2 linked regions of the Macaca fascicularis genome follow. The protein of the gene in region 2 interacts with the protein of the main gene of each other region in a pairwise test. Links are inferred from orthologs where the notes say so. Each region holds a gene or a part of one and is shown on either strand. Other genes may lie near its edges.

What was found.
Region 1: the proteins of GSK3B (region 2) and BCL2L12 interact in a two-hybrid assay, tested with the Homo sapiens proteins (2 studies listed by BioGRID and IntAct). The link is inferred for Macaca fascicularis from reciprocal best matches to the Homo sapiens genes GSK3B and BCL2L12.

The regions. Positions count from the first base shown.
Region 1 is NC_088393.1:57,638,176-57,642,571, forward strand, and holds the start of BCL2L12 (bcl-2-like protein 12), read left to right. Parts: upstream 1-1,477; 5' UTR 1,478-1,541; intron 1,542-1,638; 5' UTR 1,639-1,758; intron 1,759-2,150; 5' UTR 2,151-2,158; coding exon 2,159-2,265; intron 2,266-2,475; coding exon 2,476-2,618; intron 2,619-3,739; coding exon 3,740-3,826; intron 3,827-3,908; coding exon 3,909-4,000; intron 4,001-4,396. Other genes in the region: IRF3 (interferon regulatory factor 3), read right to left, coding at 54-305.
Region 2 is NC_088376.1:163,313,464-163,317,274, reverse strand, and holds part of GSK3B (glycogen synthase kinase-3 beta), read right to left. Parts: intron 2,932-3,811; coding exon 2,745-2,931; intron 1-2,744. UniProt on the Homo sapiens protein: Constitutively active protein kinase that acts as a negative regulator in the hormonal control of glucose homeostasis, Wnt signaling and regulation of transcription factors and microtubules, by phosphorylating and inactivating glycogen synthase (GYS1 or GYS2), EIF2B, CTNNB1/beta-catenin, APC, AXIN1, DPYSL2/CRMP2, JUN, NFATC1/NFATC, MAPT/TAU and MACF1.

The sequences.
Region 1 (4,396 bases), on a different chromosome or scaffold from region 2:
CCGTTCTAGCCCCACCCACCAACGTTGGCACGAGCCAGCCCCTCGGGCGATACCTCCGCCGTCTCAGCCCGGCCCGCTAGGAGTCCTTTCTGCCCCGCGCGCAGCTCAGGGTTTCCAGCGTCCCCGGTCGTCTCACGCACCTGGAAGATTCTGAAATCCTCCTCCTGTGCATCCTGCCGTAGGCCGTGCTTCCAAGGGATGCGGAAGCGCGTGCGGCTCTCGTTCACCCAGGCCACGCCCTCCAGTTGCCCCAGGTCCAGCTGCGACACCAGCCAGGGCAGGATCCGTGGCTTTGGGGTTCCCATGGTCCGGCCTGCGCGTATAGGGCATTTTCTGGGCGCGACCGGCCTCCCCCGGACCCACCTGGCCTGGAGTTTCCGCACCCAGAACCCTCCCTCTCACGGGCCACGGCACAGGTCCTTCACCCATATTTTCGGGGGTACAAACAGGAAACCTCCTCTTCCCATCCTCCCATCTTCCCGAGAGGCTCCTTAATCCGCTAGGGTTCCTTCCCATATCCATGGCATACCCTTCCCCAGTGTCTTCAGTGCAGACCCTCCACTCTCTCAATTCCGCCAGTATAGACCTCCTCTCTCCCCGACATCATCGAAAGCAAGTATCCCCACTTTCAGGGTAGCATCCTCTTTCCCTAGTTATTTCAGTGCAGAATCGATTCACGTGTAAGCCTCTATCTCCTGCATTTACCCCAGTGTAGATCCCCTTCCCCAGTCCCCCTACAGAAGATCCCCCGAAACATTTCCAACACAGAACTTCCATCCAATTCCTCCTCGACTGCCAGCCCCCCTCCTCCAGGACAGAGCACGCCTCAGGTTTCGGGAGTGAACTACACCCATGTACGGAGTCCATCCTTCCCTCTGTAGAACCCCTCAGTGTAGACGCCTCCTGTTTTCCTCTTTCCTCCCTACTTTTTCTAGTTTTTCTCCAGCCGACCTCCAGCGTCGGCCACTGTAGCTCCTTCCTTGCTCCACTTTCCCCAGAGTACACAGCCTGCCTTTCCACTCTCCGTGCAGACCCATCCTGTTTCCCGCTCCTCGCTCTCGGACGCCACTAACGCTCTCCCAGGCTCTTCCGCGTTACCTACGATAGAAGCTCAGGGCGTGCAGGGAGCTGGCGCCCACCCCTGTTTTGGGGCTCCGGATAGCTCTCAAAGTCGGGGCTGCGCACCCCCTTTCCCGTCAGCTGAACTCTAGACGCTGAGGCTTTCTTTTCGATCGACTTCTTGAAATAAAACCAACTTTATCATTCTTTGGGTAACACACCCCGGAGCCGAACGGACGGCCCGCGGGGCCCGGGGCTGTCCCCGCCCCTATGCCCTTTTTTGGGTTTCCGGCCAGAGGCATGCTGGGAGCGTCACATGCAAATTGAGCGTGCATCCAGCGTTCCGCCCTTTCTTCGTTGGGCCAGTTACCGACCCGGCCCAGTGCGCAGGCGCGGGAAAGTTGAACTAATAAAGTTTGTACAAGTTGAGTGGAGGCGGCGGCAGGTTGAGTGGAGGAGGCGGCGGTGAGGCCCCGGACCAGGTCAGCGGGGTGTTGACGAGGGGTGGGGTAAGGAGGGAAGAGGAGCGGGCCAGGATCCAGTAGTGGGCACCCCAGTCCCGCTTCTCCGACATCCAAGGGTCCAGGGTCCTCTAGATTCCAGCAGGAGTCGGGGATTTGGAACTACACCTCACAGCAGGCTGCGCGGCGAAGAAGCGCGGACCGAGGGGAAGATTTGCCCTGAAGCCTCCTGGGATTGGTAGTTCCCGATGCTTTAAGGGTTTCAGTAGTTTGGCATATGCCTCTTATAGAATCCAGGAGTTGGGGCGCTAAGCCCCTTCTTCCTGGGAGACCTAAGGGTCTGGGGCTCCAGTTCCTTTCTCTCTAAGACTCAGGAGTCTAGACCCCATCTCCCTCCTCCTTTAGACCCACGAATCTGGGCACCCAGCCCCCCCACCTTTCCTTGGATCAAAGAGTCTTTCCTGACCCCTCTTTCGTCTGAGGACTCAAGAGTCTAGGCCCCTAGACCGACACTTTCCAAATGACCCAGGAGTCCAGGCCTTCCTTGGGACTCACAAGTCCTGGTCCCCAACCAAGCCTCCACTTCTTGCTAACCCCTTGGAGTCCAGTCCCTAGTCCCCTCTCTCACAGGTGCCTCCATGGCAGGCTCTGAAGAGCTGGGGCTCCGGGAAGACACGCTGAGGGTCCTAGCTGCCTTCCTTAGGCGTGGTGAGGCTGCCGGGTCTCCTGTTCCAACTCCACTCAGGTAAGAGGAGTTGCCCTTCTCCCCCAGGGGCCAGCATTTGAGGCTCCCTCCTAACTCTTGCTCCTGGTCTCAGTCTGTCTCCTCTCTTTATATCTGGCTCTATTCTCTGTTTTGGAGAGAGGTCCTCAGCGGGGGAGGGAGGGAGTTGGGGAAAGAGCCTGCTTGCAGGGGATCTTTGGTGGGGTCACTCTCTGAAGTCCTCTTCCCCAGAAGCCCTGCCCAAGAAGAGCCAACAGACTTCCTGAGCCGCCTTCGAAGATGTCTTCCCTGCTCCCTGGGGCAAGGAGCAGCACCCCCGGAGTCCCCTCGGCCTTGCTCTCTGCCCATCCGCCCCTGCTATGGTTCAGAGCCTGGTAAGAGATTTCCATGATCGTCTATGAAACTGGCAGAACACGGGATAAGGTGCTAGTTTAAGATCACTCAGGGGGTGGCTGTGTGGAGTCTCTAGCATCAGCCTTCAGGATGGAACCGTCCTGTCGTCTCCTCTCCCCAGTTAGATTTCTATCTGTCAATGCTGTGGGTTGGCTTTCAGAGAGCATTTGGTCCATCTGGTTGTTGTCTCTTTCCTTCCATAACTACTTCCCTGCCCCTAGGACTTTTGTAGCCAGGAATACCGCTGATAGAGGGGTAGGAGGGCTGGTTTTCAATTACATCTCCCTGGCTGTTTTAGTTGCGTGACTCTGGGGAAAATGCTTTCTCTTCCTTGCTCCCCTGTTTTTCCAATAGCAGAGTAGGAATTGGGGAGGAGGTCACTGGACTTGATCAAGGTGACCCACAAGTTTCCCCGTAGGTGTGAACCTGGACAGACTAGTAATGGCTGCTGCGAGTGCTAGCTTGAAAAGGAGTTCACAGCTGGGGAGAGGAAGTGCTTTGATCAATTGGTGATGTCTGAAGTGGGTGAGGGAAGGGGGATACTAACAGTAGTGTCTTGTGTTTGCCTTCCTTGGATGAGATCATCTTCGAGGTCTAGTTCAGCTCTGACAGTCTTTTGGAGACAGAGCTCTGTCACCCAGGCTGGAGTGCAGGGTTGCAATCTCGACTCATTGCAATCCCCACCTCCTGGGTTCAAGTGATTATCGTGCCTCAGCCTTCCGAGTGGCTGGGCTTGCAGATGCACTCCAGCATACCAGCTAATTTTTGTACTTTTAGTAGACACGGGGTTTCTCTATGTTGGCCAGGCTGGCCTCAAACTCCTGGCCTCAAGTGACCCTCCCGTTTCGGCCTCCAAAGTGCTGGGATTACAGACATGAGCCACCGCACCCGGCCAGCTCTGACATTCTAAGTGCAGTTTGAGGATCTGATAAAATGAAAAGTACAAAGGTTTTGGCATTTTTTACCAAGTTTTCTCACTGGGACTCAGCTTACCCCATTATAAAATGGGAATCATTGCCACCTGCCACGGTAGTTGGGGGAAGGAGAGAATCCATAAGTTTCCAATGTCCTGGAAACCTGTCATTAACTCTTTTCACCCCAGGCCCAGCTACTCCAGACTTCTATGCCTTGGTGGCTCAGCGGCTGGAACAGCTGGTCCAAGAGCAACTGAAATCTCCACCTAGCCCAGGTGAGGCACGGAGGAGCCCCAGAAAAGGATGGGAGTAGGAGGATAGGGTTCTGCCCCCAGCCAAATTCTCTTCTGCCTCCAGAATTACAGGGTCCCCCACCCACAGAGAAGGAAGCCATACTGCGGAGGCTGGTGGCCCTGCTGGAGGAGGAGGCAGAAGTCATTAACCAGAAGGTGATGGGCGTCTGTCCCACCCCTTGGCAAGGACAAGAGTTGCGGAATGGTGGGGCACTGGGATCAGAAGCTGGATCTGTATTTTCTTTGGATGGTCAGGTGGAAAGAGGCTGGGACAAGGTTTCAATGAAGGGTTGAGGCTGGGCGTGGTGGCTCATGCCTGTAATCCCACCACTTTGGGAGGCCTAGGTGGGCGGATGACTTGAGGTCAGGAGATCGAGACCAGCCTGGCCAACACAGTGAAACCCCATCTCTACTAAAAATACAAAAATTAGCCAGGTGCGGTGGCACATGCCTGTAATCCCAGCTACTTGGAAGGCTGAGGTGGGAGAATCGCTTGAGCCCAGGAGGCGGAGGTTGCAGTGAGCCAAGATTGCACCACTGCACCCCAGCATG
Region 2 (3,811 bases):
GCAACAAATTAGTTAATAAGAAAATACTGATCCTTACTGGGCTTTCCTGATTCTATCTGCTTCCTAAGGTCTGATTCAGCTATGGCTGAATTTGAAATTCTAATGACAGGAAGAAATGGAAAGAAGGGGGTGTGCCAAAGGTTTATTCCAATTTCCAACATCTGAGAGCAGATAATATTGTCAGTCATGGGGTCCTGGAACACTGAAGCTTCAGTGCTGGAAAAATGAGAGAGGTCTGATGTTCTCCTGAGTTATGGATTTAGGCAATCAGAAAGATCTCAAAGTTGTCCATCTCATATCTGTTCATCTCTCTCCTTCGTCTATCTGAATATGGAAATATTGTGATTATATGAAAGTAATGCTAATTACTGTTTATGGCTAATTACTCCATGGTACAGTAACAAACATCAAATTGCAGTTAGCTTTATTGTAAGCTTTACCTTAATAAAACACTATATTTTACTCAAGTGTTTAATCTTTATAGTTCCGTATATATAGCAGGTTTACTTTAGAAATTAAAACAATAGTAATGACAACCAGAGGGAACATTAGAAATGCCCCAAAAATACTGGTTGTATGAATTAATGAATATTATGTTTATTTAAAGTGGTACATGGCACTCATACATTCATTGAGCACCTACTATATGTAGATCTTTATTTTATTTGGGGGAAGCAGTGCTGCAGATGTCACTGACAATTTGTTATGAGGATGGAGGAGGGCTTTATGCTGCCTTTAGAAGAACCTCACTAATATCCCTCACCCTTCAACCAGACCCCCCACAATGTTTCTATCTCTAGATTTCCTTTAGCTATACAACCAACTGGAAGATTGATTCTCCTTCTTCAACCCCTTGGATTACCCAGTTTTATTCTGGTCATCCATTAATTACTACTAACTAGCATGTGCTTTAAAGTTGCATCTGTACACAGTTACAGCTGCCTCAGAAAACAAGATCACCATTTGGAAACACTGCTCCAAAATTAGAATACAGAGTATCATATCAAATACAATGGCATCAAGGCTAGGCATGGTGGCTCACACCTGTAATCCTAGCACTCTGGGAGGCCAAGGCAGGCAGATCACCTGAGGTCAGGAGTTTAAAACCAGTCTGGCCAACATGGTGAAACCCCGTCTCTACTGAAAATACAAAAATTAGCCAGGCATGGTGGCAGGTGCCTGTAATCCCAGCTACTAAGGAGGCTGAGGCACAAGAATTGTTTGAATCTGGGAGGTGGAGGTTGCAGTGAGGCAAGATCATGCCACTGCACTCCAGCCTGAGTGACAGAGTGAGACTCCGTCTCAAAACAAAACAAACAAAAAAAACCAAAAAACAAAAACAATAACAACAACAACAACAAAAAAAACCTCTCTTCCCTGGACATCTTACATAGAAACACTGTTCAAAAACAGTAACAATAGTGATTTACAAAGACCGTGAGAAAGTACTACTTTGTGATTACAGCTCAGTTTCAGAATGGGTGCTAAGACAGAGCATTTTAACACTTTTTAAAAAGGGGCCATATCTCAAAATGACAGCACTTTCAATAATAAGTAGGCATAAGCACACTCTGTGACGTCTGCCCAAGGACGAAAATTGCTGAATGACACATTTCTCAGAACATATCTGCATCACTAAGGAATACATGACTGTGTTTACAGGGTCCAGTTTTTCACTGATACTCAGAATCACATAAACACTCTGATAACCACAGAGACCACACACTCTATCTATACACATTACATCCAAATATAAATGCATTCTCCAAACCCTCAAAAACATAAATGTTCAAGACCCACATCATATTTATATCTAATGTGCTGGGCAAACATATTTTAAAATACCAAAATAAAAGAGTCTTCTTTTTTTTTTTTAAAAAGAAAGATATGATATATATGAATAAAGGAAATAGATTTCTTTCTTTCACAGAAAGCTCAACATCTCCCTTTTCTGTTTTCTAGCCTGAGTATGCTTACTAATCAATACATCAACTGTGTTTTTTTTGGTAATGAATTGTACATTTTTTATGCTCAGTGTAAGAAGAAAGTCACATCATCAGAGGTAGTGTGACTGAATGAATGAATCACTTAGGTCTTAATCAAGGAGAAAAGAAAACTGAACACAGAAATAGTGAAGAAATAGTGACTATCCCAAGGTCTTCCAGAAACCACAATGCACAAAGTTAGTTTTCCTTTCAGTATTTTCTCTGCAGCAGCGATGGTGCCAAATCTCAGAGGGGATGGAAATTTCCTTGTCTCTATTGTTTGTTTAAGTTCTTAGAAAGGGTTTATAGGGCTCCAGTTTTCCTCCTGTTTGGAAGACAACTGAATTTATACAAATATAGCCAATTCATTCCAGGTTTAAAAAAACTTGATACAAACTCTAGGGAAGCAAGAAATGCTACTATTTTAAGTTTCAGATCCAAACCTAAAGGTTAAATTGTACATTAGTCCAATTAGTGATAAACTTCACTCACTGAACTCTCTGTAACTTCTCCTGTGCCAACATTATATTCTGCTAAAAATTAAAGAAGCTATGCCTATTGGAAAACTTTTATGTGCTACTCTTTTCTTCAAAATCATATAAGTAGTGACCATTAAGTTAGAAAGGATGCTCTTTTCGCCTACCTAAGTACTTAATATGTCCATTTTTGTCTCCCACAGATTTTAATTAATAGAATGTCATTTCACACCCAGTGTGTAGCTTTCCTAGAACTGGTGAAGAGCAAAGTGTTTGGATTTACCTTGAGTGGTGAAGTTGAAGAGTGCAGGTGTGTCTCGCCCATTTGGTAGTTTGACATTTGGGTCCCGTAATTCATCAAAAAATGAATGTGCACAAGCTTCCAGTGGTGTTAGTCGGGCAGTTGGCGTATACTCCAGCAGACGGCTACACAGTGCAATTGCCTCTGGTGGAGTTCGGGGTCGGAAGACCTGCAGTACAAAAAAAGGGAAAGAATAATTAATGTTTTAAGAAACTAAGTAAATACCCTGTGAGCAATGACTTAATTACCACCATGCACAGAAACATGGTTGCATTTGGGAAAGGACCTTCTAGAATGGAAAAAGTTAAATGCATATGATTCACAGGGGTGAATTGCTAATTAAAGATTATATGAGAAATGCTCGGAGAAAAATCTATATATGCTAATCATAAAGTAACAACAATCAGACATGCATACAAAATATGATAGGCACACGGGAAAGGCTGAGTTCTGGAGGCAAGTACAACTAGAAAATTATTTCTTAAATTTTAAAGTTTTCACTGCTATGGCAGTAAATAAAAGATTGCCTCTTTTGCATTGTTTTTTAGCAGAACAATTGTTAATGATGGGCAGTACTGTTCAAAAATTTGGCAATCAAAAAGAAAAGAAAGAAGAGCTATTTACTCTAGGTCTATAAATGCTACTGATTTGGTATTATTTCCAATAAACAGAACCTACCATTATTTGAAGAAATTCTTGAATACCTTGAATTTGATTAAATGTCCTATTTTTTTTTTCTCAAGTAGGTGTTACCATGAATATGGCCAGATTTCCCCCACTTGAATGAATATTCCAGGGTTTTAATCAAGGAGAAAAAAAATGTATTAACCATTAAGAATGATTAAGACACAGAAAAAGTGAGCTGAAGGCAATATTGAAGAAAAATTCAATTAAATTGATCTACTTAAAGGAATAGATAGCTTTCTACTAATTTGTGTCTTAAATAAAACTAATCATCAAAAACTATAAAAATATGCTTCATTCTAAATTATGGCCACCTACAGAATAAAAATAAAAAGGTAAGGAACAGAAATAAACAGACGAGAAGC